Linked DNA regions of Mus musculus. The protein of the gene in region 1 interacts with the protein of each later gene in a pairwise test. Links are inferred from orthologs where the notes say so. Each region holds a gene or a part of one and is shown in the gene's direction. Other genes may lie near its edges. The genes, in order: Spdef and Nkx3-1.

The links.
Region 2: the proteins of Spdef (region 1) and Nkx3-1 interact in a two-hybrid assay, tested with the Homo sapiens proteins (2 studies listed by BioGRID). The link is inferred for Mus musculus from reciprocal best matches to the Homo sapiens genes SPDEF and NKX3-1.

What each region holds. Positions count from the first base shown.
Region 1 is NC_000083.6:27,711,004-27,726,935, reverse strand, and holds the end of Spdef (SAM pointed domain-containing Ets transcription factor), read left to right. Parts: intron 1-305; exon of another isoform or gene 306-348; intron 349-6,539; 5' UTR 6,540-6,565; coding exon 6,566-6,971; intron 6,972-8,714; coding exon 8,715-8,912; intron 8,913-9,470; coding exon 9,471-9,518; intron 9,519-9,620; coding exon 9,621-9,767; intron 9,768-11,889; coding exon 11,890-12,068; 3' UTR 12,069-12,489; downstream 12,490-15,932. UniProt on the Homo sapiens protein: May function as an androgen-independent transactivator of the prostate-specific antigen (PSA) promoter. Binds to 5'-GGAT-3' DNA sequences. May play a role in the regulation of the prostate gland and/or prostate cancer development.
Region 2 is NC_000080.6:69,181,478-69,197,509, forward strand, and holds Nkx3-1 (homeobox protein Nkx-3.1), read left to right. Parts: upstream 1-9,214; 5' UTR 9,215-9,227; coding exon 9,228-9,516; intron 9,517-10,346; coding exon 10,347-10,771; 3' UTR 10,772-13,181; downstream 13,182-16,032.

The sequences.
Region 1 (15,932 bases):
GGGGAGGGACGATAGGGTGGGTGCCCCCGAGGCTGCCTGAGCTATGGGGGGGCAGGGGCAGACCTCCCTGCCTCTACTCCCAGAAGGATCCAGAAGCCCCGATACAGGCACAGCCCTCCATAGCTGACCCCTTCTCCCTGGCCGAGACAGACTCAGCTCATTTCCTGTCCCCACCCCCATCCCCAAGCAAACAGCTTCCAGACAACCCCCAATAAAGGTGCAGCACTCCATACCAGCTGTTCCCCTGAGTAACAAGGTAAACAGGCCCCAGGGATCTCCCCCCTCACCCCCCTCCCCTCAGGTAGAGGGCACAGCATGCAGGTACTGCCCAACGTGTGGACAGTTCTGGTAAGCTGAGCTTCTTCTGCCTCAGGAGGAGTACCCCATTCCGTCCCAGCGTACAGGGCTGGGAGGCTGAGGAAGGGCAGGGATGGGTCTGGGAGCCAGGCTGTGAGTTGTCCAGGTATGTTGCATGCCCAGAGATGAACACTCTGTTCATGCAAGTTTTACCTGTCACCTATGCTCCAAAGGACCTTGTGAGTCAGGTGGGACTTCCCTGTCACCCTGACCTGAAACAAAGGGGCTACACCCTATGGATGTCCAGTGGCTTCTAAGCGATAGGCCCGGCAGGAAACAGACACAGGCGAATCTATGCTGACTGGCTTACTGTGGCCTGGGCAGAACTCAGAAAGGGTCAGTTTCAGCTGGCCAGAAGACCCGAGCTGGGCCTACAGAGCAAGATGGGGTGAATTTGTAGCTCCTGGTCTGTTGAATGAGAAGGTTAGCAGAGATTGTCTCCTCAGTCGAGGGAGGCATCACAACGGGGACACGCGGGGATGAGACATTGTGGAGGAGTTGGTTGAATGCTGGTTGGATGTAACAGCTTGTTTCCTAGGCTTGTGAGGGCACACACTGAGCAGGAATCCCTGCCTCTGGCTTCCAACAGAAAGTATGGAGCTGTGGAGGAGGCCAGTAACCAGGATAGACCTGGATAGGATGGGGGAGGGGCAGGGAGCCTAGCGTCCCCCCTCAAACCTCTTTCACTTGGTCAGAACCACTGCCTTTCCCCCCTCATCCTTCCCTCCTCTCCTTTCCTCTTCTCTCTCCAGTTTCCCCCTTCACGGGTTCCCGGTGCACATTCAAGCACGCTCCGCCACTACTCTGGGAGCTGATGTCTCCGCTCAGTACTCCAGGCCCTTTGAGCCAGGCCACCCACCACAGTTTAACAAACAGCACAAACTGTCCCAGAAGAAACCTTGAGCTGCGACCAGGAGGCGGGGCTTAGCTCTGGCCTGGGACGTTCCCCTCGCCTGCCCCAGAGCCCCCACAGGCAGCTGAGCAGGTAGAACAGCTCTTCTCAGAGCAAATCCTGGCACCATAGCCCTGGGCCCTTGCTGACATTTAAAGCTCTTGGGCTCCAACCACCCGCTAGAGCTCTCCCACCGTTCATTCTGATCACTCCTGGCCAGCCAGTGACATCACCAGCAGCAGGGGCCCTGGGACAATGCTCTCCCAGCACAAAACAAAAAACCAATGAGACACCCTCCCCTGCCCCGGGCTCTTCCAAATTGGAGGCACCCCTAGCCTCCCACCCAAGGCTGAGATGTCGCAAAGGAACTTCCTAGCTGGGGTTCAGGATGTGGCTGTGACAGAGGTCAGGATGGGGGGGGTCTCTTCTCACGGGCAGCAAGAGGCCCGCCTCCCGGCCCCGCATGAGTGCACATCTCTAAGGGCACTTCCTGTCTTGGAATGGGTCTTGAGTCCCTGCCTCCTCATTCCTCCTGTCCTAGGCTCCCTGGACAGTGAGAGGCCATTGAATCCTGAGCCTGCGGTCAGATGTGGAAGGTGTGTCTGCTAGACCGGGAGTGTGGCCACATAGACCCCAAGAATTCCCTGAGTAAAGGGGCTTCCCGGGGAGGCGGGGCCTCACACACAGGAGACCAAGTGAATATGTAAACTGCAGCTTCTGGAAAGTTCTGAAAGCCAGGCAAAATTGATAGGGTGGCTATAGATTCTCGTTAAGCCCCAGGCTCACCCAGGCTGGGGGTTTGCTGGCAGTAACTGCCATCAGAGGGGAGCCTTTCAGAACCTGTGGATACAAATTCTGGGGACAATTGGAGACCCTCAGCTGTGTCTCTCCACTCACCCACTTCTCTCTCATTTGTTTTAAAAAGACAAAGTCCCGCGTAGCCCAAGCCAGCCACAGGCTACACTGGGGGGAGTAGGTGGTTGGTTGTGAAGTGAGGCTGGGACTCTGAGCACTGAATGGCCGGCAGTGAGGAGGCCTGAGTCTAGTTCTCCTGAAGACTGATGTGAGGGGTGAGGCTACTGGATCCCAGGAAGGCGGGGCCTGAAGAGATGGCGAGGAAGCTGTAACCTTGGGGCTCCCTAGAACCTAGACTGGCCTGGCTCTCTCCAAGGTGCTGACCAGCTGGTGGGTATTGGGGTGCAGGTGGAAAGGACATACCCATTCTTGCAGGGCTCTTCACCAGGTCTAGCCTTGCCCCATATTCTGTCTCTAGCCTATTTAAGGGATGCAGAGGTTGGGAGGGCTTAGGAGTAGCCAGTGGCCAAGGCCACTAGAGACTGGCAGGGGGTGGGGGTTACAGGAGCTGATTCTGTCACCCTTCCATACTTGATGTCCTTTAGTGCTACTTCCACTGGGTCTGAAGCTGGACCCTGGACTCTGGGCCACTGATATTGGGCCTCAAGATTGGGGACAGGAGCTAAGGCATTTTATATGCTACCCCACTATCCCTAGGAAGTTGGGGTCTGGAAGAAGGAACCCAATAGGATACAGAGGACGGGGCTCACAACACACGGCTGCCAGACATTTCATGAGTGCCTCATGGGCAACTTCACTCGCTGAGGATGAAGTGCTGGCTGTAAACAAAGGACACAGGAGACAAAGGTGACCCTGGAGGGAACAGAGTATCAAGAAACAGCTGTACCCAGTCTCCACCATTGGTCCCTCTGTGCTCTCTACTCACTTACCTCCCTGGGGGACAGAAGGGACTGAGAGATTGACTCCAAGCTATGAAGCCCTATCCACTAACTCTCTGATGTGGCTCTGCCCCCTGGCTTGCCCTGCACCAGCTGTTACCAAGCCTTTTGTCTGGAGAGGTAACCAGGGCTGCTGGGGCAAGAGCAAGACAGACCCCACTGAGACTTAATCCAGACATGTGGCTTTACCCCTGAGATCAGCTCGAAGTTTGGAGACCGCAGGCATCACTCGGGAGACTGCAGCCATTGGGCAGTTGAGAGGGACAGGGATGGTGGCCTGTGGCCAACACATGAGGTCCTTGAAGACCTTAGGCTCACTACAGAGTAGTGACTTCAATGTCAGGAGATCTCTGGCTAGGTCCTGGCTCTTCGGTGTGTCTCTGGGTCCTTCTCAGCCACGCCCTGAGCTTCAGCCTTACCCACGTCCTCGGAGACCCCTGGCTGATGGCTTTTTGAGGATGTAGTCAGACTAAGCTGCCAGTCACCGGTGGGTCATCAGAAAGGGAGACAGCAGAAGGGATCTTTGGGGTGGGGCTTAGGGAACCTGGGATGAGGAAGAAAGGCATCTTGGGAAAGAGGACAATAACACAAGGGAGAAAGCTGTGATTATGCCTCCCTGCAAGGAACAAGGCAAGAGATCCCAGCTTTATCAAAACCTGGATATGAGGAGACCATGCTGACTGGTAGTCCTGGTTCAAACCCTACCACTAATCACCGCATAGCTCCTATGCAAGACCGAGGATGAAACCCAGGGCTCTGTGTGTGTGCACACTGAGCGAACACTACCAACTGAGCCACATCCCAGCCCACGGACAAGGCAGGCAGTGGGAGCCATGCGTGCCAGGTTCTTGAGCAGAGGAGTCGGGTAAAAAGTTGATGAGAGGAGACAAACGTGGTAGTGCTTGGAGTGAGCAGCCAGAAGCAGAAGATGAACCTTGGAAGATGAAGGGACCCAGTCATGAGGTGGGCTAGACACCTAAAAGGAGAAAAGTGGCCAGAGCAGGTGCCTTAACAAGATGGCGGTCCAAGGAACAGAGTCTACACACAGCCAGGTTACAGTCTCCTGAGCCTGGCCATCTGCATCTCTGAGATGAGACACTCGAGTTCACGTAGCTCAGGCTGTGGGTAGCTGTCCTAGCTAGAGTTACTACTGCTATGAGGAAACACCATGACCAAAGCAACCTGGAGAGAAGTGTTTATTGGCTTCCACTTCCACCTAGCTGTTCATCAAAAAAGTCAGGACAGGAACTCAAACAGGGCAGGAACCTAGAGGCAGGAGCTGATGTAGAGGCCATGGAAGGGTGGGGCTTACCAGCTTGCTCCTCATGGCTTGCTCAGCCTGCATTCTTACAGAACCCAAGACTACCAGCCCAGGGGTGGCACCACCCACAATCAGCTGGGCCCTCCCCTATTAATCACTAGTTCAGAAAATACTCAACCAGATGTGGTGGTGATGCCTTTAGTCCCAGCACTCAGGAGGCAGAAGCAGACAGATCTCTGAGTTCGAGGTCAACCTGGTCTACGAAGAGAGTTCCAAGACAGTCAGGACTTTATACAGCGAAATCCTTTTTCTTTTCTTTTCTTTTTTTTTTTTTAAACTTTATTTATTTAATGTATGAGTGCTCTGCTGCATATGCATCCGCCCGACTGAAGAGGGCATCATATATCCCCCTATAGATGGTTGCGAGCCACCATGTGGTGGCTGAGAATTGAACTCATGACCACTGGAAGAACAGCCTGTGCTCTTAACTGCTGAGCCATCTCACCAGCCCCGAGAAACCCTGTCTTGAAATACCAAAACAAAAAACCAAAAGGAAACAGAAAACCTCTTCAGGCTACAGGCATTTTCTCACTTGAAGATTCCTCCTCTCAGTGACTTCAGCTTGTGTCAGCTCGACATGACCATCTGGCACAGTGTATGTGTGGGCATCCTGGCATGACAGAGTCTGCACTCTCTGTGACACCCTCTTCTCCTGCCCTAGTCCAGCTGCTGCTGTGAGAGACCAGAGGTGCAGCCAGCCCCCCATCCCCAGTCCAGCCACCAGGTCCCAGGGAGCAGCCTTTGTGTCTGCTGCATAGTTATTCAGTCAAGGGAGCTCTGGGCACTGGGAAGCAGAGCAAGGGGGAGCTGGGAAGGGGGACAGGTGTTTCTGCAGGGGAAGGGTCCAGAAGACTTCTTTACGTTTTGACTGCCCCATTGGTAAAATAGGGGTAAGAAGAAAGTTTGGGATGCCTTCCCTAGGGAGCGCATGGATACCAGGGCTGTGAAGCCTACTCAGCAAATGCGGTAGGGATGAAGTATTACATAGTACCTGGGCCAGCACTGGCCCAGATGGCCCCTCTTGCAACATTGCCTGGACCCCAGCACCCGTCTCCCCTCCCACCTGTGACTAAGGCCAGGCAAACATAAGGCCACAGAGAATCAAGTCCTCCTGCCTCTTGGAAAAGCTAGAGGCTGGGCATGGGGCCCAGGGAGCTGGCAGAGACTGTCCTAACGTGGCAGGCATGGGGCCATTGGGGATGTGGACGGGGCAGGAGGCCATTGTGAGGTGGAGGAGGAGGGATGGAAACTGGGGGAAGACTCTCCTTGGGTGGGGCCACCACCTGGGGTATAGGGTGTGGGCATAGGCCAGGGTGGGGACAGAACAGGCTATGGAAGCTGCCTTGGTAAATACCAAGGTCCCGTGGAGTGTGCGTGCGCGTGCACACACACACACACACACACACACATATTTGCACAAAAGGACTTGAATCAATCCAGACCCAACCCCGACCCCTGTCCACCCCACCCACCCAAACCTATTCTTCCTTGTCGCTTAGAGTTCTTTGAAAGGAAAGGCTGGACCTAGAGGCAACACATTTGGCTTTCTCTCTCCTGTGGGGCCTGCTGGGCAGCGCTGAAGGGTGGGAAAAACTGGGCACTAAGCAAGAGGAGGTGGGTGCTGAGCAAGTGTGTGTGTGTGTGTGTGTGTGTGTGTGTGTGTGTGTGTGTATGTGTGTGCGTGCGCGCACTGATCAAGGAGGGGGTGGGGACTGAGCAAGCAGTGGGTGGGGACAGCCAAAATTCACCTCAACTCTATCAAGTCTTGCTAGTCCAAGAGAACAGGAAGCTGTTTCCTGGATTGTAGGGCATTTTCCAACAGGTTAGCTGTGGCCCTTGAAAAGACACAAGGGTTTTTCCAGACTGGGCCTTTTTCCTTTGCCACACCCACCCAGGTGCCAAAAGCCAGCTACACGGTGGGTCCTACAGGGTAACTGGAGATGGGAAATGCAAGAGGCAGGAGGACCAGATCGTTCAGGCCAGCCAGTGCTACCCACATAAGACTTATAAAGGAAATGTGTGCCTCCCACCTGCCCACACGTCCACCTCATTGTCTTTTCCAGTCAGGGCCACATTCACTGCCCAGTGACCCGGAAGCCCCCTGGCCTCTCTCCAACCCATTGCCTGCTGAGTCCCGAGTCCTATAACCAGCTTAGTGGTCCCCCACAGAGCCGGGACAGCCATCAGACCTATTTTCCTTCTCTGATTTCTGCAGAAGCAGCCCCAAGCCTCCACCGCAGCATGGGCAGTGCCAGCCCAGGCCTGAGCAACGTGTCCCCCGGTTGCCTGCTACTGTTCCCAGATGTGGCACCACGAACAGGGACGGAGAAGGCAGCATCAGGAGCAATGGGCCCTGAGAAGCAGGAATGGAGTCCTAGTCCACCCGCCACCCCTGAGCAGGGCCTGTCTGCTTTCTACCTCTCTTACTTTAACATGTATCCCGACGATAGCAGCTGGGTCGCCAAAGTCCCCGAGGCCCGTGCCGGGGAGGACCACCCGGAGGAGCCCGAGCAGTGTCCCGTCATTGACAGCCAGGCCTCTGGGAGCACGTTGGATGAGCACTCGCTAGAGCAGGTGCAATCGATGGTTGTGGGCGAGGTCCTGAAAGATATTGAGACGGCCTGCAAGCTTCTGAACATCACAGCAGGTGAGACCGTCCCTGCCGCCTCCGCCCCGGGGGCCTCTGCCCGCCCAGGGATACAGGCAGGGTGGAGATCTGCTAGATGGACTCTGATCGCCTTGGATAGCCCAGGACACACAACAGCTGGAGTCAGAGGCCATGCCTAACCACGCCTGCCCCGGGGCCCTCTCTTAGTGGATAAAGGGCACTCAGTGTCTGCTCCCATCTGGCTCCCCACCTTCTCTGGGACTCAGCTCCCCTCTTCTGTCACTCACTCTATCCTAACCACGTGGTCTCCCTGCTTTTCCCATAGCGCCTGCTAGTCCTGCAATCTAGGATGCTTTCCCACACATAGATACCTATTTCGCCTTTCCCTGGCATTCTCTGGTCTGAGTTGGCAACCTGTCTGTGAGACCTCTGATCAGCTGCTGAGATTGGCTCCCACGGCTCACCTCTCGCCTCCCCCTTTTTCTTGTTCTTGTGGTATGATTGCTATCTGGAGGTCTGGGACTTGGTTTCTTCCTACCTCACTTCCTACCTAGATGGCACTGGACATAATAGATGCTCAATAAATGGCCACTGACTGACTTCACCTGCTTGGCGCCCTCCCTGCACAGGGACTGGGAGAGAAAGCAATGAACAGGACACAGGCTCTGTGTGTGGAGCTGGGACAACTGGATCATAAAGAAGCAGCTGAATGTGGCCCTCTGATGTGGTCAACTGATGAGGAAGGGACACCAAGGAATAGATGTGTGTGTGTGTGTGTATCCATGTACATTCGTGCCTGATCTGGGGGGGGGGTGTATCATGGGGTCAGAGGTGCAGGTGAAATTACTGTGGGCCAGGAAGTCCTGGCCTCCATCCTATAGTTCCCTGTGAGGAAGCCCCCCCACCCAGTCTGCTAGATGTTCCCAGGTGGTGTCCCCATTCAAGGCAGCTCCTACCCACATCTCTCCTCTACTTTCCCACACTCCAGAAGGCTCTCCCATGAGGAAGAGGCGCTTCCTCCAGCTCCAGGGTGAGGCGGGTGTGCTCTCTGAACAATGGGGACAGAAACAAATTGAATTGACCTCGGGAAGAAAGAAAATGGCCTCGAGATGTGGGAGCAGTGTAGCTTGCAGGTCACTAAGCTGGGACACTGGCTGGAACCAGACTTCACCTGGCGGCCACACTGCCACTGTGACCCAGGCTGGTTCTAGCCTTGTGCCCTGCTAGGCTCCCCTGAGAGCTTTTTCCCAGGGGCCCACATCACTGGTGACTTCCTCCTCCAGCTTTAGCTGACCCAATAACCGCTGGGGCAGCTGCTAAGAATCTAGCTATTTCCTAAGCACTGGGCAAGGATTGGACCCCCTCCTGTGTGCTCCGGTCTCTTCCTCTCTAAAATTCCAGGGCAGAGCGGTTCCTGGGTGGGTTTTCTCCTCGAGAAGTCTGTGGAAAGCAAAAGTGTCCAGCAAAAAAAGCATTTATGTTTCTGGCTGAGTGTAACTGTTCTCCTTAGAGCTGGGATCTCCGGAAAGGCCCATTAGGGGGCAGGAGAGACATGGAGATGTGATGGGTTACCAAGGCAACAAGCTTGGTTTAGGGTCTTTCCCTCTCACTTCCTTTTTGGTGGAGTGTGCCTTCATGGGCTTCTCAAGGCTTTAGACATTCCCACCCTGAGGAGTGCATGGCCCCAGGCAACAAAACCTCATGGGTGTCCCATCCCACAGACGGCCACCTTTGGGGCAGTGCCCACCAGCAGCCTTGAACTAGTGTGTATCTCTTGTCCAGACCCTGGGGACTGGAGCCCTGGTAACGTGCAGAAGTGGCTTTTATGGACAGAACACCAGTACCGGCTGCCTCCAGCAGGCAAGGCCTTCCAGGAGCTGGGCGGTAAGGAGCTGTGCGCCATGTCCGAGGAACAGTTCCGTCAGCGTGCACCCTTGGGTGGGGATGTACTGCATGCCCACCTGGACATCTGGAAGTCAGGTGAGACACGGTAAACTGGGCTAGCCTTGAATTTGCATCAGTCAGTCTGCCTCTCCCCTCCCCCCATGTGGAGCAGCATGGGAGGAGAGAAGGGACTCTCCCAGATTGTCCTGCCTTCTGACCCTGAGTCCTGGCCCCCCTGTGCTTCACACGACAGCACTGTTGCTGTCTTTGGCTGTTGATGCTGGTGATGGCTTGGGGTTTTTCTTTTGTTTTGCTTGTTTTTTTCCTCTTTGGAATTTTGGAGGATTCTGTGCTTGCTCATTGGGTCGAGGCCCTTTCCCTTAGAGGTCTGAGATGAATGGGAGACAGATGCACTCAGGTGACTCTCTGAGTGGTCAGTCTCCCGTGCCAGTGGTTATGACGTGAGCAGAAGGACTCTGTCCCTGGCTGATGGCCTAGGGGTGGGCGGAAGCAGTGGGCAGTTGGAGACCTGATGAGACTGCCAGGCCACAGATTCAAGGCTCCCTTGCCCATTTCACAGTGAGGAGCGGTCTGCCCCACAGCTGTGGGTGGGGACCTCTGCTGGGTCGCCAACCTCCCCATTTTGTTCCACAGCGGCCTGGATGAAGGAGAGGACCTCGCCTGGGACCCTTCACTACTGCGGTGAGTAGGGCCAGCGCAGGAAGGCCTGGAGGGGCTGAGGGAGGCTACCCTGAGAAGTGCGTAGTCGCAGGTGCCATACATCCTGCCCGCTCTGGCTTCCAGCCTCCACCAGCGAGGAGGGCTGGACGGATGGTGAGGTGGACTCGTCGTGCTCCGGGCAGCCCATTCACCTGTGGCAGTTCCTGAAAGAACTGCTGCTCAAGCCCCACAGCTATGGCCGCTTCATCCGCTGGCTCAACAAGGAGAAAGGTAGAATCGGCTGGGGCTCCGTTCTCCAGGGCGGGGAGGGGTTGGCAGGAGACTTGACCTTTGTTAGGAGGGATTAGAGAGAGAGAGAAGGTAGGGCCTCGGGGCCGTAGGGGCGGGGCTCTGAGTGCCGAGAGGGGAGGGGCTACTCGGAGGCGTGGTTTCCATGTGAAACGCAACGAAGGAGGGTTTCTGTAGGGCAGAAATCCAGCTAGGAGCATGAGCAGTGCTGGAGTAGGGGGCATGGGTGGACCTACAACTGAGGCTGGGTAGGAAAGTGGCGCCACCCGGAAGGGGGCACAGGGTAGGGGTGTGGCCTAGATCGACTTCACCTTCACCCTGTGCCAACTGTGCCACTCAAGAGATCCACACTCCTTCAGCACCAAGGTTTTTGAGGTTTAGGATACTGTTTGTGTCCTCCTCAGCCTCTGCGCCAGACTCTGCCCTGGTAGTGAGACTCCATCGGCCCCACACAGTACTGGAACATAGCACTGATTTAAGGTTATTAGCTGAGAGTGGGAAAACACTCCGCTTCAAGCAGGGCATAGTGGCTTTAAGGTCAGCGCTGGGGAGGCAGAGGCTGGCGGTGAATTTTATGCCACTCACCCCAGTCTACACAAAGAGACCTTGTCAAAAACAAACAAACAAACAAAAAACAGGACTGGAGAGATGTCTCGGTTGTTAGGGTATTTTTGGTCTTGCAGAGGACCAAGATTCAGTTCCCAGCACCACGTGGCTGCTAGGACTTCCTCTGACTCCAGCAGCAGAGATCTTTTGACCTGGCAAGCACCAGGCAAACACTTACAGACATGCAAACAAAACACTCATACCCATGAGATAATAAAATACATCTTTAAAAACCCCTGAAAACATCGTGTCTTGAGGGCCAGTGAGACAGCTCTATGAGGACAGACAGGCAGGCATGAAGAACTGACGTTGATTCCTGGAGGATGGAAAGGAAACGAGTCTTGCAAATTGCCCTCCGCTCTCCACATGCATGCACACCCAGGACCTATCTGCTGACATGCATTCACATAACCACGAATAAAGTAAAAGAGAATAAAAAATTAACAAGAGCTCCAACCTAAAGAATCCCATGTCCATCAGAAGTACAAATATGTGAGCCCTAATTATAAGATTAAACATTCTAGGTCTGGAGTCAAAAATGTTTAAAAACAACTGGATTTCACTTTAATGATGTAGGTTGCCTGACCTTAATCCCAATTTCTCAAACGATCCCCAATACAAACTCTTCAGAATACCATTGTAGATGTCTGGCCCAGAAAAGCTTGTCAAATATTCCCAAATCCTAAAACTCCAAACTCTGACACAGTTCTGATCCAAAATTTCAGATTAGAGATGCACAACCTGCCTTTGATATAAGACTGTACACAAGTTATAATTTCAACCAGTAAGAAAAGTAAAAATTAGCTGGGTGTGGTGGCTCACGCCTTTAATCCCACCACTTGGGAGGCAGAGGCAGGCGAATTTCTGAGTTCGAGACCAGCCTGGTTTACAGAGTGAGTTCCAGGACCGCAAGGGCTATACAGAGAAACCCTGTCCAGGAAAAAAAAAAAAAAGGAAAAATTAAATCAAATATATTTGCTAACATCAGGTGTCATGATGGCACATGCCTTTAATCCCAGCACTCCAGAACAGTCAAGGTTATGTCGAGAGACTGTGTCTTGAAAGAAAAAAGAAAGAAAGAAAGAAAGAAAGAGAGAGAGAGAAAGAAAAAAAGAAAGAAAGAAAGAGAAAAAGAAAAAGAGAGAAAGAGAGAGGGGGGAGAGAGAAAGATGAGAAAGATGAAAGAGAGAGAAAGACAGAGAGAGAGAGGAAGAAAGACGAGAGAGAAAGACAAAGAGAGAAAAAGAGAGGAAGAAAGAGAGAGAAACAGAGAGAGGGGGAGAGAGAAAGATGAGAGAGAAAGAAAGAGAGAGAAAGACGAGAGAGAGAGAGAGAAAGAAGAGAGAGAGAGAGAGAGAGAGAGAGAGAGAGAGAGAGAGGTTTGTTAAGTCCCTTGCCTGCTCCAGCATCTGTCACTTTGCTTTCCCCCAAACCAATCTGTTGATCTCCTCTCTCTTCTTCTCCTCCCACCCTCCCTCCTTCCTTCCCCCCTCCCCAGGCATCTTCAAAATTGAGGACTCAGCACAGGTGGCCCGACTGTGGGGTGTGCGCAAGAACCGGCCAGCCATGAACTATGATAAACTAAGCCGCTCCATCCGCCAGTATTACAAGAAGGGCATCATTCGTAAACCCGACATCTCTCAGCGCCTTGTCTACCAATTTGTGCATCCAGTCTGAGAGCCACAGAGACCAGAGGCCTACAACCTGCCCCAGGCAGCCACTCTCTGGTTGGCCTGGTCCTCTCTGCTCACTCTGAATTCAGGGGCTGCTGGTATCCCAGAACCCAAGGTCCCAGATAGACAGCCACTGATCTAGGGATACACATGAGCTCTCTGGGTCATACACAGGCCCCAGGAAGATCGAGGGAGCTAGGATTGTTCACAAACGGAACCGGGCTTGGACTGTGGAATTCCTGGGGGAACCACCTACAGCACACAGGGACTGGACCAAGTCAGCTCACCGGACAGTGATGTCACTGGTCTCTGCTCCTGCCACAATCCTGTACCATATCTGGCATGGTGCTAAGAGATGTCTGTACCCTGCGTTGGGAAGCCAGGGGTGCCCTGGGGATGGATAATAAAGACGTAAGATAACTGTTAGGTCCTCCAGTGTCTGGCTATGCATGGCACAGACTGGAGGCCAGCAGCAGTCAAGGGTGGCTGGGGTTCCAAGTGCTTAGGGTGGTGACCACAGGGAAGCCTACCCAGGCAAGTGACATGGAGCCAAGCCTGAGAGGAAACAGGAGCTGTCTGGTAGATGTCATGGAAGAGGCAGAGGGTTCTCCAGGACAAAGTGGATAGTCTAGATAGATGCTTCATCCTCCTCACCAGCCATGGCTGACATAGGAGGTGGGCCAGGCTGAAGAGCGAGCGTCCATACACAGACCCAAAGTAAGGAAGGCAGCCTCTCTGTCTGCTCTGCGAGAGGACAGCACTTGCTGGCATGTGTGCCCAGGTGTGCCCAGGTATGCCAGGGGTCTGGCTCTCCTGCAAGAGGATTTGCTTAGCTATCTAAGAAAGCTGAACCACATAGTGGATTGTGGGAGATAGTCGGTGATTCATAGCCTTTGGGACAGTGGCGTTGTAAGGCTCTAAGGATTTACAGCTTCTGCCTCCCTCTCCCCAACCCCCAAGACTTCACAAGGTCTATTCATAGACTTGTGAGTCCCTCACCTGGGCAAGAAAGCCGCTGGAGTGTGAGGAGCAGAACGAGCCTGGGTGTGGAGCTCCCAGACAGCTTGCCCATTCTCCAGCCCAACACAGCTGCGCCACACTTCCCGGGTTTATTTACCCTAATCAAGCATCCTGAGGACGTGCTATGGCCAGCCCTCTGCCCTTTGTCGTTGCCCTCAACAAAATCATGAAGTCCAGGCCACCTCCCTGTTCAGCATGTGTTACCTCAGAGGTCCAGAATGGCTGAGCACTTAGCTCACAGTCAAACCCCTATGGATGGCAAGACCAGGAACTCACCCATCCTGCCCCAGGGACAGGATTCGCCCTACCTTTCCTTCCCAAATGGTTCAGCATCTCTTGCCCCACAGCTCATACGTTCTGAGGCCAGACTTCTCTGAGAAAGGACAGGGAGCCAGCACCATCTAGAACACCCCGGGGGGTGTGTGTGTGTTATTGCTTTTGTTGTTTTGTTTTGTTTTGTTTTTGTTTTATTTGAGATAGGGTTTCTCTGTGTAGCACTGACTGTTCTAGAACTCACTCAGTAGACAGAGCTGGCCTGGAACTCAGAGATCTGCCTGCCTCTGCCCCCAGAGTGCTGCCACACCTGTCTGGACCAGAAAGGGTTAAAGGCACCCTGCACTCCTACCTTCTGCCCCCAGCACTTTTTATTGTTTCCTGAAGAATGTTTACTCCTGACAACTAGCAAACAGTGCCTTGGCATCTGTCATCTGGGATTGGACTGGGATGGGGTGGGGGCTCTACCCAGGCCGCTGTCTTGCTAGGCCCCAGCTGTCTCCTATACCCAGGCAAGAGGCAGTCTGGGACCCTGGCCAGAGGCAGGCTCAGCTCTGTTAAACTGGTTTTGTTTCCAGCCAGCCCATCCTGTCCCTTGGGAATCCCTTAAGTCACCCACTTGGATGTCCCAGCTGTGCCTGGGCCAGGCTCAGAGTTCAGGCAGGGCTGGGGAATTCTCACAAGGGAAAGGGGATTGCATTCTTAGGTTGGGGAGAAAAAACAGCTCCACAGAGGGGAGGTGTGGGGGACCAGAAGGGCAGCTTCCACCGAGGAACATTCCAAAGGCTACATCCACCCAGTGACAGCTTTCAAGCTGGCATCAAACCATGCTTTCTCCTCTCTGTTGACATATCCCTACCAAAACCTCTCCTGGCATAGACATTTCCTGACTCCTTTTTGGAAGTTTCATTTCAGGGCTCCCCCAAACAAACTGGAACAGCCTATGTGACTAAGAGGCCACCACCTTTGGACTCTAAGATCCTGGGCTGGGCAAGGAGACCTAAATCTGTAATGCTAATATTTGGGAACTGGAGGCAGGAGATCACCCTCAGCTACACAGCCATTTCGAGGTCAGCTACACAAGACTTTTGTTTTTTATTATTACTTTATTTTAGATTTACTTTGGGTATGCGTATATGCCTGTATACCACATGTACGATCCGCCCACAGAGGTCAGAAGAGAGTGTTGGATTCCCTGGAACTGGAGTCACAGAAGGTTGTAAGCAGACATGATGTGGGTGTTGAGGATTGAACCTGAGTCCTCTGCTAGAGCAGCTGGTACCCTTAATTGCTGAGCTGTCTCTACAGCCCAAGACTCTAATTTGAGCAAAGCAAAGACAAGAAAAAGAAAGGAACGAAAGAGAGAGATGGAGGAAGGAAAGGAAGGAAGGGGGAGGGAAGAGAGGAGGAGGGAGAAGGAAGGGAGGATGGTTCATATCAGGAAGCACAAGGTTGCCCTCTGACCTCCTGTGCGGGTTTGTGTGGAGGCACATGTGCGCATGCTCAAACCTGCTCTTGGCCCTCAAACCCTCACACACATTATATAGAAATGTAAATAAATTGTTTTTCAAGATGAAGGGAGATAATGAAATAAATAAGAGAGACCAGTCCTGTCTGGATAAGAGTGGGCTTCAGACATGGATAGGCTTAAGGTTATCAAGGCAGATGGACGGCTATCCCAGCTTCCCCTCTCACCGTTTGCACCTAGGGTACGGGAAAGTGATGGCGGAGGGGCTGTGTGTGTGTGTGCGCGCGCGCGCGCGCGCGCGCGGTCCCATGAGACCGCCAGGGTCAGAGGAACCTTCGAGACACCCCACAGACACTGGGAGGGGGCCTCGGGTCTCAGAAAAGACCTAGCTGAGGTGTAAGTGGGCATCAGAGTTCCAGACCTGGGCCCGACAGGGCGTGGAGAGCTGAGCTCTAGCTTGCCAGCACAGATACTCCCAGGGGGCCTTCGAGGACACATGTTCACAGCGGGGGTAAACTCCAGGAGAGCCGTGAAGATCCAGTGTTCTCCTCAGGAGGCCTGAGCAATGGCTTTTTAGAATTCTGCTTTAAAACTCAGAACTATCTAAAGATCAAGTTCACCCTTGGACTGAGTTTGGCTATTTATTTATTGGCTGGTTGCTGTGCCGGGTATGGAAACACAACTTCCTCACCCATCAGACAAGAGTGCTACCAATGGACCAAACATCCAGTCTTAGAACCAGGAGTCTGGGGTTTTAAACGTCTGACTCTCCTGGTCAATGCTATGAGAGTCGCATATTGTATCTGAGGCCAGAACCTCAGTGGCGTCCCTCAGGTAGGACCTGTGCCCTCAACTGCCCAGCTTGGACAGCACTCAGCCTTGTCCGGCGCCCACTCCAGGACAGACATCTTCATTCTGAAGACACTTCCAAGGGCTGGCCCCACACCCTCCCCCCCCCCCACCAACTGAGAATGACTCGGGTGACAAGTCCAGCCAGGGTGACAGAATTCTGGTTTTATCGACAGCCATACGGTCACAACTGATAGATATAGATATAATATATATATTTGTATTTATATACCTTTAAATTACACAATCATGTATAAA
Region 2 (16,032 bases), on another chromosome or scaffold:
GAAGAACGCAGAGAGGCAAGACAGAGCACAAACCGCATGGAAACCAAGGGCTTAAGATGGAAGACACAAGCTCACCAAATAGACTCAAGCCCAAGGAGATTAAAAATGTATCCTGAATGAATGAGGGGAAGCCGGAGTTGAGGCTTCTCTACATTCGCTGCTTTCCATGAAATCCCGACGCTTTCCACAATCATCGAAGGATTCTGGGTTTGAGGGTAATGCCCAAGCAAATGCAGCCATTTTGCCAAGGGTTCCCACCTGGTGCCCCTCTCTCTGACTCGACATGGCGCTTCATTACAGCCTCACAGGGGAAGTCCGATAAATAAGGAATTTCCCGACTCTTTAAAATGTCTGACATATACAAAACATCACAGTTGCCCATGAGACTCGGGTCCGCGTTCAGAGGCAGTCTGTGTTGAGAATCAATCTCACAAACCTCTGTGGAAGTTTCACATATGAAGTCAACATGCTTTGAACGCGAGGCAATTGTTATTGCTTGCAGAACTTCAAGTGACCACCAGGGGACGCCATTGCTTCCATTTTTCTCCTGCGGGCGGAGGTCTGCTCCACAATCCTTGAACCTCTTTGCCAAAGCCTCCAGGTTTGGCTGTTAGCAGTGTTCCTTGTTTCTTCTCAGTCAGGTGAAGTCCACCCATTTCCTGATGGCTAAGTGTGACCAGAAGACAGAACCCCAGAGGCACAAAAGTTCCTAGGAAAACACTAAGTGCTAAACAGGGCTGAGCACCCACTGATGTCAGACTTAATTGTCATGCAAGGCAAAGCATCCTTGATGAGGTGAAGAAAGTAGGGAGGCTGAGACTTTACCTAAGGCCACCCTTACAAATGTGTCAGGCTAGACTATAAACCCACTAACCTTGTTTGCAGGTCTTCTGTTCAGGGCAAAGAGTACACAGTTATTCTAAGATGTAACTGTTTCTGGTTCTTCTTTGTGTCTGCTGTGGGGATCCTTGTTTTGAGACAGTGGTCCATGCTGCTCTTGAACTCTTGAACCTCCTCCTGTCTCAGCCTCTTGAATGCTGAGATGGCAGGCAGGCTCCACCAAACCCAGCAAAATGATACTATTTTGAAAAGGACTCTGAACAGAACACACTGTTCGGACCAGGCTGGCCTCAAACTCAGAGATCAGCCTGCCCTGCCTCCAAGGATTAGAGGCAGGTGTGTATCAGCACAACTCGGCTATACCCTTCTATTTTTCTCTTGTCCAGACTCAAACTCACTTCAAGGGAGGACCGTCTTCCTGTGAGGTCCTTCCTGTTTGAACTGTTCTGGACTCAGAAGTGCCTCTCTTTCCCGGAGTTTAGGATGCCTTGGAGAGTGGATATCATTGAGTGTTGAGTTTGGCTTAGCTCTTTCACCAAGAAGCAGGTGAATTGTTGGGTCTCTTGGTTGCAGTTTCAAAATGCCTTACACTGAATGGTGTAAAAAGAAGTTCACTAAGCTTACATTTTTAAAAGTTAAAAATCCAAGATCGGGTATCTCTCTTTGCTCTAGCAAGCGCTCTCTCAGGCCCTGCCCCAGGCTGCATCATGAGATTGATGGGCACATGGTAGGAGCCTATGGTGAGGCAGAAGCCAGCCTTGAATGTGTGTGTGTGTGCAGGTGAGGGTGAGGGTGTGTGTGTGTGTGTGTGTGTGTGTGTGTGTGTGTGTGTGTGTATGTGTGTATGGTGTGAGTGTGTGTGTATGAGTATGTGTATGGTGTGAGTATGTGTGAATGTGTGTGTGTGTGTGTGTGTGTGTGTGTGTGTCAGTTGTTCTTTCACAGCCTTCTCCCAGGAGCAAACTCCATGAGACCAGTGTTCCCTGTTTTGAGTCCCAGGGACCTGCCACCTCTCAACAACCTACCAACCTCTCCCTGCCACTGCCACGCTGGACACCAGCCTTCCCACACGTAGGAGAACATTTTAAACCACACCCACAAGGCACCAGTGGAGAACATAGGTTCCCTCCCTCTCAAACAGGATGACCTGACTTCAATCTTAGGTTTGAAGAGTTCTCTCTGATCTCCACACACATGCCACGGTATGTGTGCAACCTCTCTGTCTTTCTCTCTGTCTGTCTCTCTGTACCCTCTATCTGTCTCTCTGTCCCTCTGTCTGTCTCTCTCTGTTACACACACACACACACACTCATAGACACTTAAAAATATTAAATTCTGTCAAGAATACTTTAGCTGAGATAGCAACATTTTACTTCTTTGTGTGTGTGTGTGTGTGTGTGTGTGTGTGTGTGTGTGTGTGCCTGTCTGTCTGTCTGTCCTCTGAGGCCAGATCCCTTGCAGCTGGAGTTTCAGGCAGTTAGGAGCTGCACATTGTTGCCTGGGAACTGAACTCAGGTCCTCTGGAAGAAAGGCAAGCATTCTTAACCACTGCACCATCTATCCAGCCCAAAAGTTTACTTATCTCTCCCTTAGAAAAGTAAAAAGGAATTAAATAATAGCAACAATCTTTGCCTTTTCTGTCCTACTTGCTACCCCTCCTCTTTTCCCTCCCTCCCTTTGGAGAGCATTTAAGGTAGGTGTGATGGTTCTTGCCTGTAACCCAGCACTCTGGAAGCAGAGACAAGGATCAGTCACAGTCAGCTACAGAGCAAATTCAAAGACAAGCTGGGTTTATGCGATACTGTCTCAAAAACAAAACAAAACAAAACAAAACAAAACAAAACAAAACAAAATGAAAACTCAGCAAAGAGAAAAACAAAAACTAAAAACAAACAACAAAACAAAAGAGTGTTTTAAAAGAAAGAAAGAAAACTAGCCTGTGCACTGGTGGCCAAAGTTCTGACTTTGTCACTGGTATGCGATTTCAGGAAAGTCTCTTGAGACCTCAGTTTCCCTACTTCCAATATGATGCCTTAAGGCTCATATCTAAGTCTTTCTCTGTCTCTGTCTCTCTCTGTCTCTCTCTCTGTCTCTCTCTCTGTCTCTCTCTCTGTCTCTCTCTCTCTCGTGTGTGTGTGTGTGTGTGTGTGTGTGTGTGTGTGTGTGTGTGTGTAAGTGGGACTATGGCACACTTCCTGTTTATACCCTGCCTCTCAGCTTGCTCTCTGACTCAATCCTCTCTCCAGCTTCCCATGGGGAAACGGGCCCTGGATAAACACATGACCAGAATGCAAGGTGTCCTCTGTCCTAAGACATTACAGGACCTGGACACTGCTACAGGGTGGTCCTGAGGATCTGCCCTTCTATCCAACCCCAACATGGGTGGCCACTTCCCTTCCAAGCTGTCCAAACACCAGCCCAGCCCAGCCCAGCCGGTCTCACCATCATCACTGGGAATGTCAGGCCTCCACTCAGTCACAATACCGGCTCATGGCTGGCAGTTTCCACACCTGTCTTATGAACCAAGGCTGTGTTATTCAAAATAGAATCTGGGGAGATATCTATTGGATGACTCAGTACTAAGATGAAATAGTTTTATTTTGGGACAGCCCCACAGATTCCGTAGGTCTGGTCTAGTTCAAAGCAGATAGAACTTTCTGCTGAACCAAGCAGTGTCGTGTCATCGTCCCATTTCCCGGTGCCATCTCTAAGAACCCCCTCTGCCACCTTCTTAGTTGGCCACCTGCCCTCTGATGATCATTACCATCACTGTAGGGTAAGCAAGGCTCTCACAACCTCCTCAGCGTCATTGGAGATTCTCAGAACAAGACAGTGGCAGAGGGGTGGTATCGAATTGCCAGGGCTAGCCAGAGCAGGGAGAAGGTCAGAGGCCCCTCCTCTAGACAAACATCCCCAATGTGTCTCCCAGGTGAGGGTCTCTGCTAAGCTGTTCAACAGATCATGTCCGGCCACCCAGTCAGAGGATAGGGACACTTCTGCAGACACAGGCCCAGCAGCTGTGGAGGGGGAGAAAGGGTGGTTGGTCACCGGGGCACTATTGTATTAATAGCAAAATACTACTGAGCTCCCACTGCTAAATGAATCTCCGTGGCTATTCTTGGGTGCTAAGTGTGAACAAGATGAGGCGAATCATAAGGCTACCCACCAAGGTTCTCCAAAGCCTGATCCCCAGGGCCATACAGAGAGGCCCAGGGGAAAGCTGGTGGGAACAGTCCCAGTACCCGATGCTCGGAGGTTCACAGAGCCTTGGGATAGAGGGAGAGGAGCCTTGGAGCAGGTGTGGGATAGGAAGCCTGGCTGCTTTCTGGGTGAAGCTAGAGCTTCAGGCATGAGGGACATGTGGAGTTTCAAGACATGTCTGGAGATCTGGGGTTACTATAGCCACCACCCCAATCACATCACACCCTCGCTCCCTCACAGACCTGCTCAGGGATCTCACCTCACTACTCCTTATAGACAGAGTCCCCCCTGCAGGCTGTTCAGGGATCTTAGCACCCACCCCTTAGAGGTGCGGGTGCCCTGCTGCAGCACCAGGTACTGCTTGGGACCTTGCAAGATGTGAAGACTTGTAATGCCCACCTAGGCTGGCTGAGGAGAAATCTACAGTCTGACAGGGTCCAGGATCCTGAGACCGGCAGCGTGCTGTAAAGGGCCAGGGTGGTATCTCTGTCCTCTCAAGATACCATGGTTTAGATGCCCCCTTAAGTCCTCATGTTGAAAGGTCATTGCCGTGGTAACGATAGGAATAATTGGGAATCTTAGAAGATTTTGAAGGTTCTAGAAGCCCCTCAGGGATGGGCTAATATGATTGGTGGGAAAATGGGTTCCTGATTGGATAAGCTTGGCTGCAGCTTCTATCCCTCCCTCTTTCCCTCCTTACATCTCTATTGTACTGTCTGCCTTGTTATGAATAAGCAAGAAGTCAGAGCAGGTGCAGCGCCTTAATCTTGGGGTCTTGGGCTTTGCCTGCTGATGTAATAGAATATACACAAGAACGTAGTAGACACAGACCCCAAAACTTAGTATTCCAGGTCAACCCCCTCCCCCAAAGAGCAAAGGGACAAGTCTCAACGCCATATTGCTGAGCACCCAAGAAACCAGAGAACATGTTCTCTGCCCCATCCCAGGCTGTGAAAGTCAAGGGCCTGACACTGTGCCTGGAGTTTTGTTTTGATGCTGAGGAAGATGGGGCAGCGGAGGGGGGGGTGTCTCTGCTGACAGAAACATCGCAGCACATCCTCTCTCAGTGGGGACTGGGGACTAGAACAAAGGTCTGAAGTAGGGATACAAAAAGAGAAAAGAAGACAGCACGGTGAAACTCTTATGAAGAACAGAGAAGGAGGAGAAAAGAAGTGGCTGAGTGCGGAGGGTGGGGGCGGGGCATCTCTCAGGCAGCAGTGGCAGCCTGGATCCTCTTTGGTACAGATAGCAAGTGCTTCCTGTGACTCGTCCTCTCTCCCGGGACCCCCACTCCCTTCTTTGTCTTATCTAGTCTCTGGACTGGCAAAGGATCTCCACAGAAAACACCCCACCATGATGTATGCACAGGAGACCAAATCTAGAAAGTCCTCTTGAGAGGTATTGTAACAGGGAGGGAGGCAGACACCGAGAAAGTGATGTCATCAGCCGTGATGGCGCGTGGCACTCAGCATGCGTGTGTGGAGGTCAGAGGGCAATTCTGTGGAGGCAATTCTTCCCTTCCACTTTTATGTAGATTCCAAGGACCCAACCTAGGTCAGCAGGCTTGGGCAACAAATACCTTTATCTACTTAGCCATCTTACTAAAGAGAATTTTTTGTTTTATAATAGTTTAACATCTTAGAGCTCTCCAGTGGAGGAATGCACCCCCACCCCCACCCCCACCCCCCGGGCTGGCCAATTCCTATTAGCTAGAATCTTGTCCATGACTATGCCTGGCAGTGCGAACACTCTTGACCACTTAGCCATCTCTCCTACCCTAGATTTATAATTTTTAAGAACCACACATGAATGCAAACAAATAGATCCTGTTAGCCTCCCCTCCTTCCCTTCTCTCAGCCTGCCTCCACCTCACTGAGCAGACACCACTGTCCTACTGAATACATATATGTGCATGTCTGCGTGCAAATGATACGGACCACTTGTGGTCACCCTTTTACACGCGCAGTTGATTCTACAGCTCAGTTTGCAACTGGAACCAGTCTGTGACCAAAACCAGGTTCCCAAGTCAGTACATTGTATATTTATGAGTTTCCAGGGCAGAAGCCAAACTAGCTGGGTTGAAGGATATGTCCATTTTTAATGTAAACAGATACCGACCAAATATGTAAATCGGCCTATTTTCCGCCCACAGCAGTTACTCACTGTTTGGATGGCACCTTAAGAAAATCTTTCCCAATCTGATGCATAGAAATGACTATCCAAGGTTCTCTGCCCCAGTGTGGGGGAATGCCAGGGCCAGGAAGCAGGAGTGGTAAGTTGAGGAGCAGGGGGAAAGGGGGAGGAGGGATAGGGAATTTTCGGAGGGGAAACTAGAAAAGGGATAATATTTGAAATGTTAAGTAAAGAAAGTATCTAATAAAAAATAAATACATTTAAAAAAAGGAGTATCTCAATGTGGCTTTGATTTGCATTTCTTCTCTTTTTAAAAAATGCTATTTACTTTTAAAAATATGTGTGTGTTTGCATATCTGTGCCTGCAGAGGTCAGAGGTCAGGCATCAGATGCCCTGAGGCTGGTACTTCAGGCAGTTGTAATGCTTGATCCTGGGAATTGAGCTCTAGTTCCACTGAGCTATCCCTCAAGCCCCTTGATTTGCATTTCTTTCACGAGCCTGATTTTTTTTTAAAAAGAAATTCTCCTGTGTGCCTGTTTGCATCTACATCTTTGAGCCCTCTGGGATTTATTTTGAGACTAGGACTGTCTCATCAATGAAGACCTGTGCCCGGCCAAAATCAACATCATTAACAGTCAAGTGCAAACTCAAAAAACTAAAGCCAAACTGAAATAGCACTGTACCAATGTTAGTGGCTGAAATAAAGAGAATGGCCAGGGCTAATAAGGTTTCAGATATCTGACACTCGTTGCCTGTGGAAACAGCAGTACAGTCACACAGAAGAGCGGCTAGGCCTGTCACTCTGCATCTCTTGTCTCAGCTATCTTTTTTTTTTAATTCCTGACCATTGTGACCAAATATCCAACAGAATTAATTTAGGGAAGGAAGGGTTTACCTTGGCCGGTGGTTTGAGGGTATAGTCTGCCATCTTGAGAGGAGCACAGGACTGTATAGTCACGTCTCAGTCAGTCGTATAGTCACGTCTCAGTCAGTCGTTTCAGTCAGCCAAGAAACATGGGGATACACCAGTACTCAGTTTGCTTTCTCCCCCTTGAAATGAAACTACCCATTTAAGGCAGATGCCTGCCCCCGCCTGCCCCAGTGAACCTTCTCTGGAAACACTCACAGGCACACCCACAGGTAAGCCTCACTAATCCTCTGACCAAGTTAGTTATCCAAAGGAACTACCCATCACCCGTGGTCTGGCATAGCCACTGCACCACTGGGTAGAGAAAGGAGACTTGCATTAAATCTGTTATTCCCACCAAGAACCAGCCACAGACTGGTTAAGTAAAATGATGTTTGCTTTAGTTTATGAGTCTAGAGCTTCAAGTCCAAAATTAGGGGGCCTAATGGGGGGTGCAGTGCAACATGAGAGGAGCACAGGCTGGTGGGAAAATCCATACACCAGGGCCAGGAGAGGGGGGAAAATTGGGGCGCTACAATCTCTATGTCCTCAACAATTTGAGGACCTCTCATTAGGCTTCAGCCCTTATAGGTCCAAAACTTCTCCAAACTACCTCAGCAGGGAACGGCATTTATGTGTGGGCCTTGGAGGAAGACTCCCCACACACACTATATGCATACATACATACATACATACATACATACATACATACTACAATGAGGGACATTGGAGTTGCTATTTTTGCAATTCCCAATGAACCTGTAACTATATCAAAAATGTATATTTAAATTTTAAAGGAAAATAAGTCCAGGTAACATGCAGAAGAGAGCTTTTCTGAAGGCCTTCCGGTTATCCATCCCAGTTTCCCTCCGAAGTTGCTGTATTCTCAAGGGCCTGCCCCCCTTTCTTTCTCCCCAGAAATACAAGGTTCCCTGCAGAGCAGATTCCAGTTGAGTCCTGGTGCCTTAGACCACAACAGACTCTAATTGCATCCATTAATTAAAAAAAAAAAATCAGCGTAGGCTTTCCTCGGTTTCCACCAAATGTTGTATTCTAGCACATTCCTTTGATCAGATAGATCGTATTTAGCAATCCAAAGCATTGTTCTGAACCATGTGATATTTAAGTGACAGACATGGGGAGCCTGGGCTAGAGTGTTCATTTCTTTTATTAGTTTGGTTTGTGCATGTGTGCTGTCAGTTGTTTAGTTGTTAGTTAGTTAGTTAGTTAGTTAGTTAGTTAGTTTAAGACCGGGCCTCATTATGTAGACCTGGCTGTCCAAGAAATCCCTATATAGACCAGGCTGGCCTCAAACTCACAGAAATCCACCTACTTCTGCCCCTCTTCACTGGGATTAAAGAAATGTCACCCACACACAGCTTGAGTGTTTATTTATCTTTTCTTTCTTTCTTTCCTTCTCTCTCTCTCTCTCTCTCTCTCTCTCTCTCTCTCTCTCTCTCTCTCTCTCTCTTTCTTTCGTTCTTTCAACAGGGTTTCTCTGTGTAGCCCTGGCTGTCCTGGAACTCACTCTGTAGACCAGGCTGACTCAGAAATCCACCTGCCTCTGCCTCCCAAGTGCTGGGATTAAAGGCATGCGCCACCACTGCCCAGCGAGTGTTTATTTCTTAAGAATACTCTTTCCTGGTGTTACACTACCTGGTCAACTCAGTAAACGAGACACTGTCATACTACTTGGACCTTCCCTAATAGACTTCTGCTGGTTGTCTAGATGTGTCCAGCTGGGAGTCCAGCGTGGGACCATAATGAGCATGATTGTCAGACCTAGGATCAACTTAGACTCGGTAGATCTGGCTTTGTTATCAGTCTCTCTTACTATCTGAACACAATTAGGGTAGGTGGAAGCGACCTGCCTGCTCAGTTCTGATTCCAGTAAGAATTTGGCGTTTGTGGCTTCTCTGGCAAAGGGCTTGAGAGGGAAACCAGGAAAGGTTAAGGGCTCATCAGGGAAGGGCTCTGGAGCCTAATCCGCCCAGGACTCGCCCCTTGAGGGTCACCTGGAGCCCGCGGCAGCCAATCGGGGAGCAGCCGTGTCCCCGCGGCCAATGGGCAGGCGGCGCGGCGCTCAGCATGGCTATAAGTGCGCGCGGCCCGGTGATAGCAAAAGCGGCGCGCAGCGGAGGAGGGATGCTTAGGGTAGCGGAGCCCCGAGAGCCACGGGTGGAGGCGGGTGGCCGCAGTCCTTGGGCAGCGCCACCCACGCAGTCCAAGCGGCTCACCTCCTTCCTCATCCAGGACATCCTGCGGGACCGCGCGGAGCGGCACGGGGGACACTCAGGCAATCCGCAGCACTCGCCGGACCCTAGGAGGGACTCCGCTCCAGAGCCCGACAAAGCAGGGGGTCGCGGCGTGGCTCCGGAGGACCCACCAAGTATCCGGCATAGCCCCGCGGAGACACCGACTGAACCCGAGTCTGGTAAGCGGAGTAGACCAAGCGAGCACCATGCACAGGAAAGGACCGCTCTTGGGCTAATGGCCCCGAGCTCTGGATGCAGGAATCCTGAGGTTGGGGGTGGGGGCATGGCCACAGAAAGGACCTCGCTGTCCGCCCCACCGAGCCACCTTGAGCATCAACCCTGAGAGCAACTAATAACTTTGCCATCGACTTGACTCTTTTCCAGCGGCTGCAGACATTTACCACTGGCTACTAGAACTAACGATAACCATTAATATTCATAAATCAAGCCCACTCTTAAGTTCCCTTCGTCTCCATTCCACGAGCCATAAAATTATGGATGTTCTTTTAAGTCTTTAGAAATAGAATCGCGTCCAATTTTATCCTCCGGCCCCAACCACTTTTCATGCTGGTGACTAAGCCACAGTTACAGGAAGAGGACTAGGGCAGGAGATGAACTGGTTACCATCCCAGGCCACCTGGCTCATCTCCACAAATCTCAGTCACCCACTTCAATGTCCCTACGATGCCTCCGTCTTCCCTGTTGGCACCTTACCCACCTCTCTTTGCAACACACATCCAGGATCCACATTTCACTGATGTAAAACAACAAGGCAGAAAGATCAACTGTAAACCGCTAAGACCTGAATGTAGTTCACACTGATTATTAGAAACAAATACATAGTATAAAAAAAGCCTGCTCACTTCTTCAGGGTAGTTTCTTAGTCTTGCAAACAAAGTGAAAGTATCCAGATGACAGTGGGCTTTTTGTTCACTAGCAGAAAACAAAAAGGTGGTTTGAATTCTGAGCTAACATGTAACTTTTCCTCTCTCCTTCTGTTCTTCTCCAGATGCACATTTTGAGACTTATCTTTTGGACTGTGAACATAATCCAGGGGACTTAGCAAGTGCCCCCCAGGTCACCAAGCAGCCACAGAAGCGCTCCCGGGCCGCCTTCTCTCACACTCAGGTGATTGAGTTGGAGAGGAAGTTCAGCCATCAGAAGTACCTGTCTGCCCCTGAGAGGGCTCACCTGGCCAAGAACCTCAAACTCACCGAAACCCAAGTCAAAATATGGTTCCAGAACAGACGCTATAAGACCAAGCGAAAGCAGCTGTCGGAAGACCTGGGAGTCTTGGAGAAGAACTCACCATTGTCTTTGCCAGCCCTGAAAGATGACAGCCTGCCCAGTACCTCCTTGGTCTCCGTGTATACTAGCTATCCCTACTACCCCTACCTGTACTGTCTGGGCAGCTGGCATCCATCTTTCTGGTAGCAACAGTTCTGCTGATAACTGCATATATCAGAAACTGTCTTCCCTGGGGGTCTCTGGGAAAAAGCCACAGTGGCTGATGTCAAGGAGTCGGAAGCAAGAAATGTACAGATGCAAACTGTTGGGGGTTCCCAGGGAACACTCCAATTCTTCTCTGGTGGGCAGGTGAAAGATCTGGGGCAGTGACTATTTGAAGATGTAGTCCCAGTTCCAAGTGTCCTGTAGGTGACTGCTGCCCGCTCCCCTGTTTAGAGAGAGCCAGGCAAGTTTGAGTCTTGTTTCCAGAACTTAGAATGGCTACAGATGCAATGGCTATATCGTTCCTAGGAATTCTGTTGTGGCAACTCCATCCTCTCCCATGACTGAGTATCATGGAAGGGCCAAGCAAGGGGAGGGATGGCCCCTTAGATGAGGATTTCCTCTTGAGTTAAACTTGGGTCTCCTGTTGGCCTTGGACTCTGGCCAGAGTTTCTCTCTGCCCTTGTAAAAATGAGGGTAAACGGAAGATTTGAAGAATGGGGGTGGGAGGGGGTGACCCTTAGTGATTGAGGCAGGTTGGCATAGAACGTGAAGGGGGTGGAAGGTGGAATTTTCAACTTACCCTTTTCACAGTGATGTGCCAGTCCAAGGATTTACAGGGCAGCCTGAGTGTGGCAGGGTACACACGCGGAGGGGGTTAAGACAAGCTGTGTAAACAGTTTGCCTGCAGGGGTGGGCTGCAAAACAGACTTCCTCTCCAAGACATGGGCCTATGGGGTTTCCACACGCCAGGTGAGCGGCTTCCATCAGGACTTTATATTAGCAGGGAAGAAAAGGACTCTCCTGCCCTTCCTGCTTAGACTCAGGAGGGCCTGCAGCTTCCCTGGCCTGAAAATTCACACTTTGTGATGACAGAGGTGCCATTAGTTTTAAACAAAGGACCTTCCAACCCTCCTTTTTATTTCTTGTTCTTTCCTACAGGACCTCTCCGTTCATGCTTTTCATCTGTGCCTGTCTTATTTCGTGTAAGATTTGCTCCCACCTCCTCCCAAGGTTTACCTTTCTTGGTTTAACAACTTAACTAGCTACAGACAGATTATGACATACTTTTAAAAGAAAAAAATGAGCAACTCATCTCTTCCCTTTAAAAATATGACATACTTTAGAGAGAGAAAAAAAACCTAGCAACTCCTCTCTCTCTTTCCTTTAAAAATACTCAGCATTAAATCCCAAGCCCTATTTAAAGACATGAGAGCTGAAGATGACAGGTTCTTTCGCAGGGCTGTGTGCTAGCTCTGTGTTACAGTTCAAAGGCTGATGCCCATTGGGGTCCTGGGGATCCCTGTAGGCAGAGGTGGTTTAGGGGTGCTTGTTTTTCATGTGTAAGGAAGAACAGGACAAAAGGAAGGGCTGGCACTGCTGAGGGATCTGGGGGAGATGGAGGGGTCCTGCTGTCAGCCCAAGCTAACCAGCAAGGAGAGGTAAACTGTCTTCAAAATACAACCTCACCGAGGCTTCCATCCACAGATGTGTGTGTGTGTGTGTGCGCGCGCGCATGCACGCGCAAATGCTTTGGAGAACTATGCTTAGGAACTACCCTAAAGTGGTAGGAGTGAAAAAGAGAATTGGTTGACCTTCCCTTTTCCATCCTGATATCTCAGGTAACCTGCCGAATGGGAGATAAAGGAGGTAGAGCACACTTATAACAAATGAGACTTTCTGGGGCCAGGAAATCCCTTTATCCCACCACTCAGTGCTATACAGTGAGAAATCTTTTAATTTCCTCCTTTTAAATGGGCCAATTTACTGTTGGTGGCAAAACTGCCAAAGGAAGTTGATAGAAAGCTGGCGGCTTGCACCCTGTTCTTTGACAGCCCGGGTCCCCATGTTAAAGTATTGTTCCGTGTCCCTTGTTGCTGACCACTGTGGTAGCGTTAGACCATACCAAAGCCGGAGGAGTCCAGTTCTCTTCTTTCTATCCGTCTTTTGGCTCTGAGTTCCCTATCAGTACTTTCTCTCCTCTCACTCTGACTAGAATCTTTTTCAGCGTGCACTTTCACTACGTTTGAACTATTATAGTGTGCAGTGTGTGGCAAAGTCAGAAAGGGAAAGGCTTGTGTTTAAAATTATGTTGGGGAAGTCTGACTCAATTTTGCTTTCTCCATACTGGAACTACCCATTCACCCACACCTGAACTGGTAGAAACGTGGCCTGTTGTCTCCAGCCTGTGAATGGGAAAGGTATCGCTGTGGGTATCACCTGGGTGACATATCTCTGTCCTGTTTCGTCAATCAGTTAGCAAACCCCGGCTCTAACAGAAAAGTCTGTCACTTGGCATTTAGTATAGTACTCCACTCAAAACTTTATTTTTCTACGGGTTTTTTTTTTTTTTGCAACCTATGAGTGTTTTAAAATAAAGCCTCTATGTCTTTATTAGACACCTGCGTGTGGTTTTCAGATTCTTGCAAATGGGTTTTCTTTTTAGCTTGCATTTTTCACGGTGGCCATGTTCCCACAGGACACTTGGCTGGCCTGACAAGTTACAGACACAAATCAATCAAAGCAACAATTCAGCAAGTAGCCAAGAGGGTTTCTTTTCGCAGTGACCTCTCCTGCCATTCTGGTAAATCAAGGAGAGGGAAAAAAACAGGTCTGCCTGTATTAAACTTCCACCCACAGCAGTGGTGTTGCTGTCCCTGTCATCCCAGCACTCAGAAGGCGGAGGCAGGAGGATGAGAAGTTCAAAGCCATATTCTTTGGCTACACAGTGAGTTTCAGACCAACCTGACAGCATGAGAGCCTGTCTCAAAGTTATAACTCATCACCTGCACCCGTGTTGGAATACCTCGCGTGTAACTGAAGACTGTTCACGTATGTAGTGACCCTGAGGGAACAGGATGATCACAGCAGTTTTCAAAACGTCCCTTTTCTTATAATCCCTGGCTCCCTCACTCCTAAACGTGTCACCTGTGTCCAGAGTCCCATTAGCTTCATGTAAGCGATGTCCCTGACATGGGATCGCTAGTCTACAGCCTGCCCACCCACCCTGAACGTGCCCAAGCTCATCTGAAATGGGACCACAAGTGTTGAGGATAAGTCGTATTACAGAACTAATACACATAAACTGCACACCTCATCCCCAGCATTTAAGCCTTCCTAAAACCACACAAAGTAAGTGCCTCCTGGGTCTGATGGCCTGTGAGAGCTGGTGGTCTCTGCCCCTCCTTCAAGGAAATAAAAGCTTAAAGGGGAAGGTGCCTACTTCAGGCAATCCATACCATAATTTCAAAGTGTGCCCTAATCTTTTAAGTACATCGCACACACAGGTGGGGCTTCTTGTAGCAGGCAAGAAGCATGAGGTTTAATTTGCACAAATCTACAGCCACCCTCCTGTCCCAGGGAAGGGTATTAGCTCTCCAATTACAAAGCCTCTTGCTGCAAATTAACAGATGTCCTTTTTGAAAAAGTAAACCATTTAAAAGTAATCCAGGAAATTAAACAAAAGTCTCCTATCTTTAAAGAAAATCCCCTTTGCCTTTTTTTTTTTGTCCTGTTTCCAACATTTCCTAATATCTGATAATCTCACAGCCTTCTCTCCAGAAGTTAGTTCCTTTGGCATGCCACATAGTCATGCTACTTGAAATACATTGTCAACCTGCCTTTTGGTCTACTTCCTGTGGAAATTTCTCATCCACAGGCTCCTAGGCATCCCTTAGAAGCCTTTTGTGGCCAAAAAGTTGAATATGTGTCAGACGCCAACAAGATTTATTTTCTTCTTAACTACACACATCAAATCCCTTTTTCTTGGGATGATACTAATGCCATGAACAGTGAAGCAAACTTGGGATAAAAAGCATCTATAGGGAGGTCCCCTAGCTTGGGTGGCCTGGAAACAAGCCCTGTGATGGAGAATTGTTCGTGGAGACCCTGAGGGTCTTGGCAGATGTACCAGGAAGAAAGCAAGGCTGGCAGGGCTGAGGAGAAAAACTCTGAGTCGAAGCTCTAAAGCCACGGTGTCTCTTTTTGAAAAGAGTAGGATGGGACATTTGACCTCAGCATCAGCTGCATCCTGAAGTGGGGAGGAACCTCGAACAATGCAGTTTCTTTGTGAATACAGCAAGGAACCAATGAGGGACACTGTGACCAATCATTGTCACATTGGTCACATATGGATTGGCAGTCTCCTCAGCAGCCGGTCAAGAGTACATTGGCTCCATCTGGGAAGACGTTGTTGTACACCATGGAATCCACTTTTGCTGGTCACTCAGGGCCACCACCGTCTCTGACACTCTTCACACTAGTGAACTCAGTGTCAGGTAGATCCTGCTGGGCTTGGAGCGATAGCCTCTACACTCAGACATCCAGACTCTGGTCCGCCCATGGCCATCAGGAACATGTCACCAAAGCATGTTTTCTCAATGCCAAGAGTAATTTACTGTGCAAGAGAAAGGGCATAAACAAGAGAGTCCTGGGACACAAACGACTCCTAGTTTAGCCACACATTTGGCTCCTCTGCAGACTTTCCCAGACAAAGTAGCCCTTGAAAAGGCTGATCCAAAGTCTACAAAGGAGACGGAAGGAGCCCCCATTCCCACAGTGCCTCCCCTCCCCTGTGCAGAGACTCCAGGTAGATTCTTCACTTGTGTCCTGAGCTTGTGCTGAGTGAGAGATGAAGCTGAATATACAGAGTTTAAAATCCAGCCAATCAATTTCTAGGATAGACTCCTTTATCTGATGGGTCTCTCCATGTTTCTATTGAATTCAATAATGGGAGGACCCTTCCTGGGAGCTGATGAATAAAGAGGAAAGGCATGGACAGTAGTCTCATCTTCTCATTGAACAACTATAAGACACACGCTAGGGTTTGGATATGGTATGCCCCACACAAGCTTGTGTTTGAGAAAGCTTAGCTCCTGGTCTTTCAGGTTTGAAGGGACCAATCCATTAAGAGGTGGGGTTCAGAGCCAATAGATGGATGAGCAGGTCAAGGTGCTTACTATCAAGTCTAATGACCCAAGCTGGATCCCTGGGACCCACATGGCAGAAAGAGAGAAGCAACTTCTGAAAATTGTTTTCTGACCTCCACATATGCATAAATTCTGGCATATGCACATGCACAGGCACACACGCGCACACACAACTAAATATGACAGCTTTTTTTTTTTTTTACAAAAGAGGTTAGGTCCAATTAAGTAATTAGGTCATAAGAGGTCAACACTCATACATTATTACTGTCTTGTAAGTGAAGGTCAGGTCTCACGGGAGTAGATTAGTTCCCAAGAGAG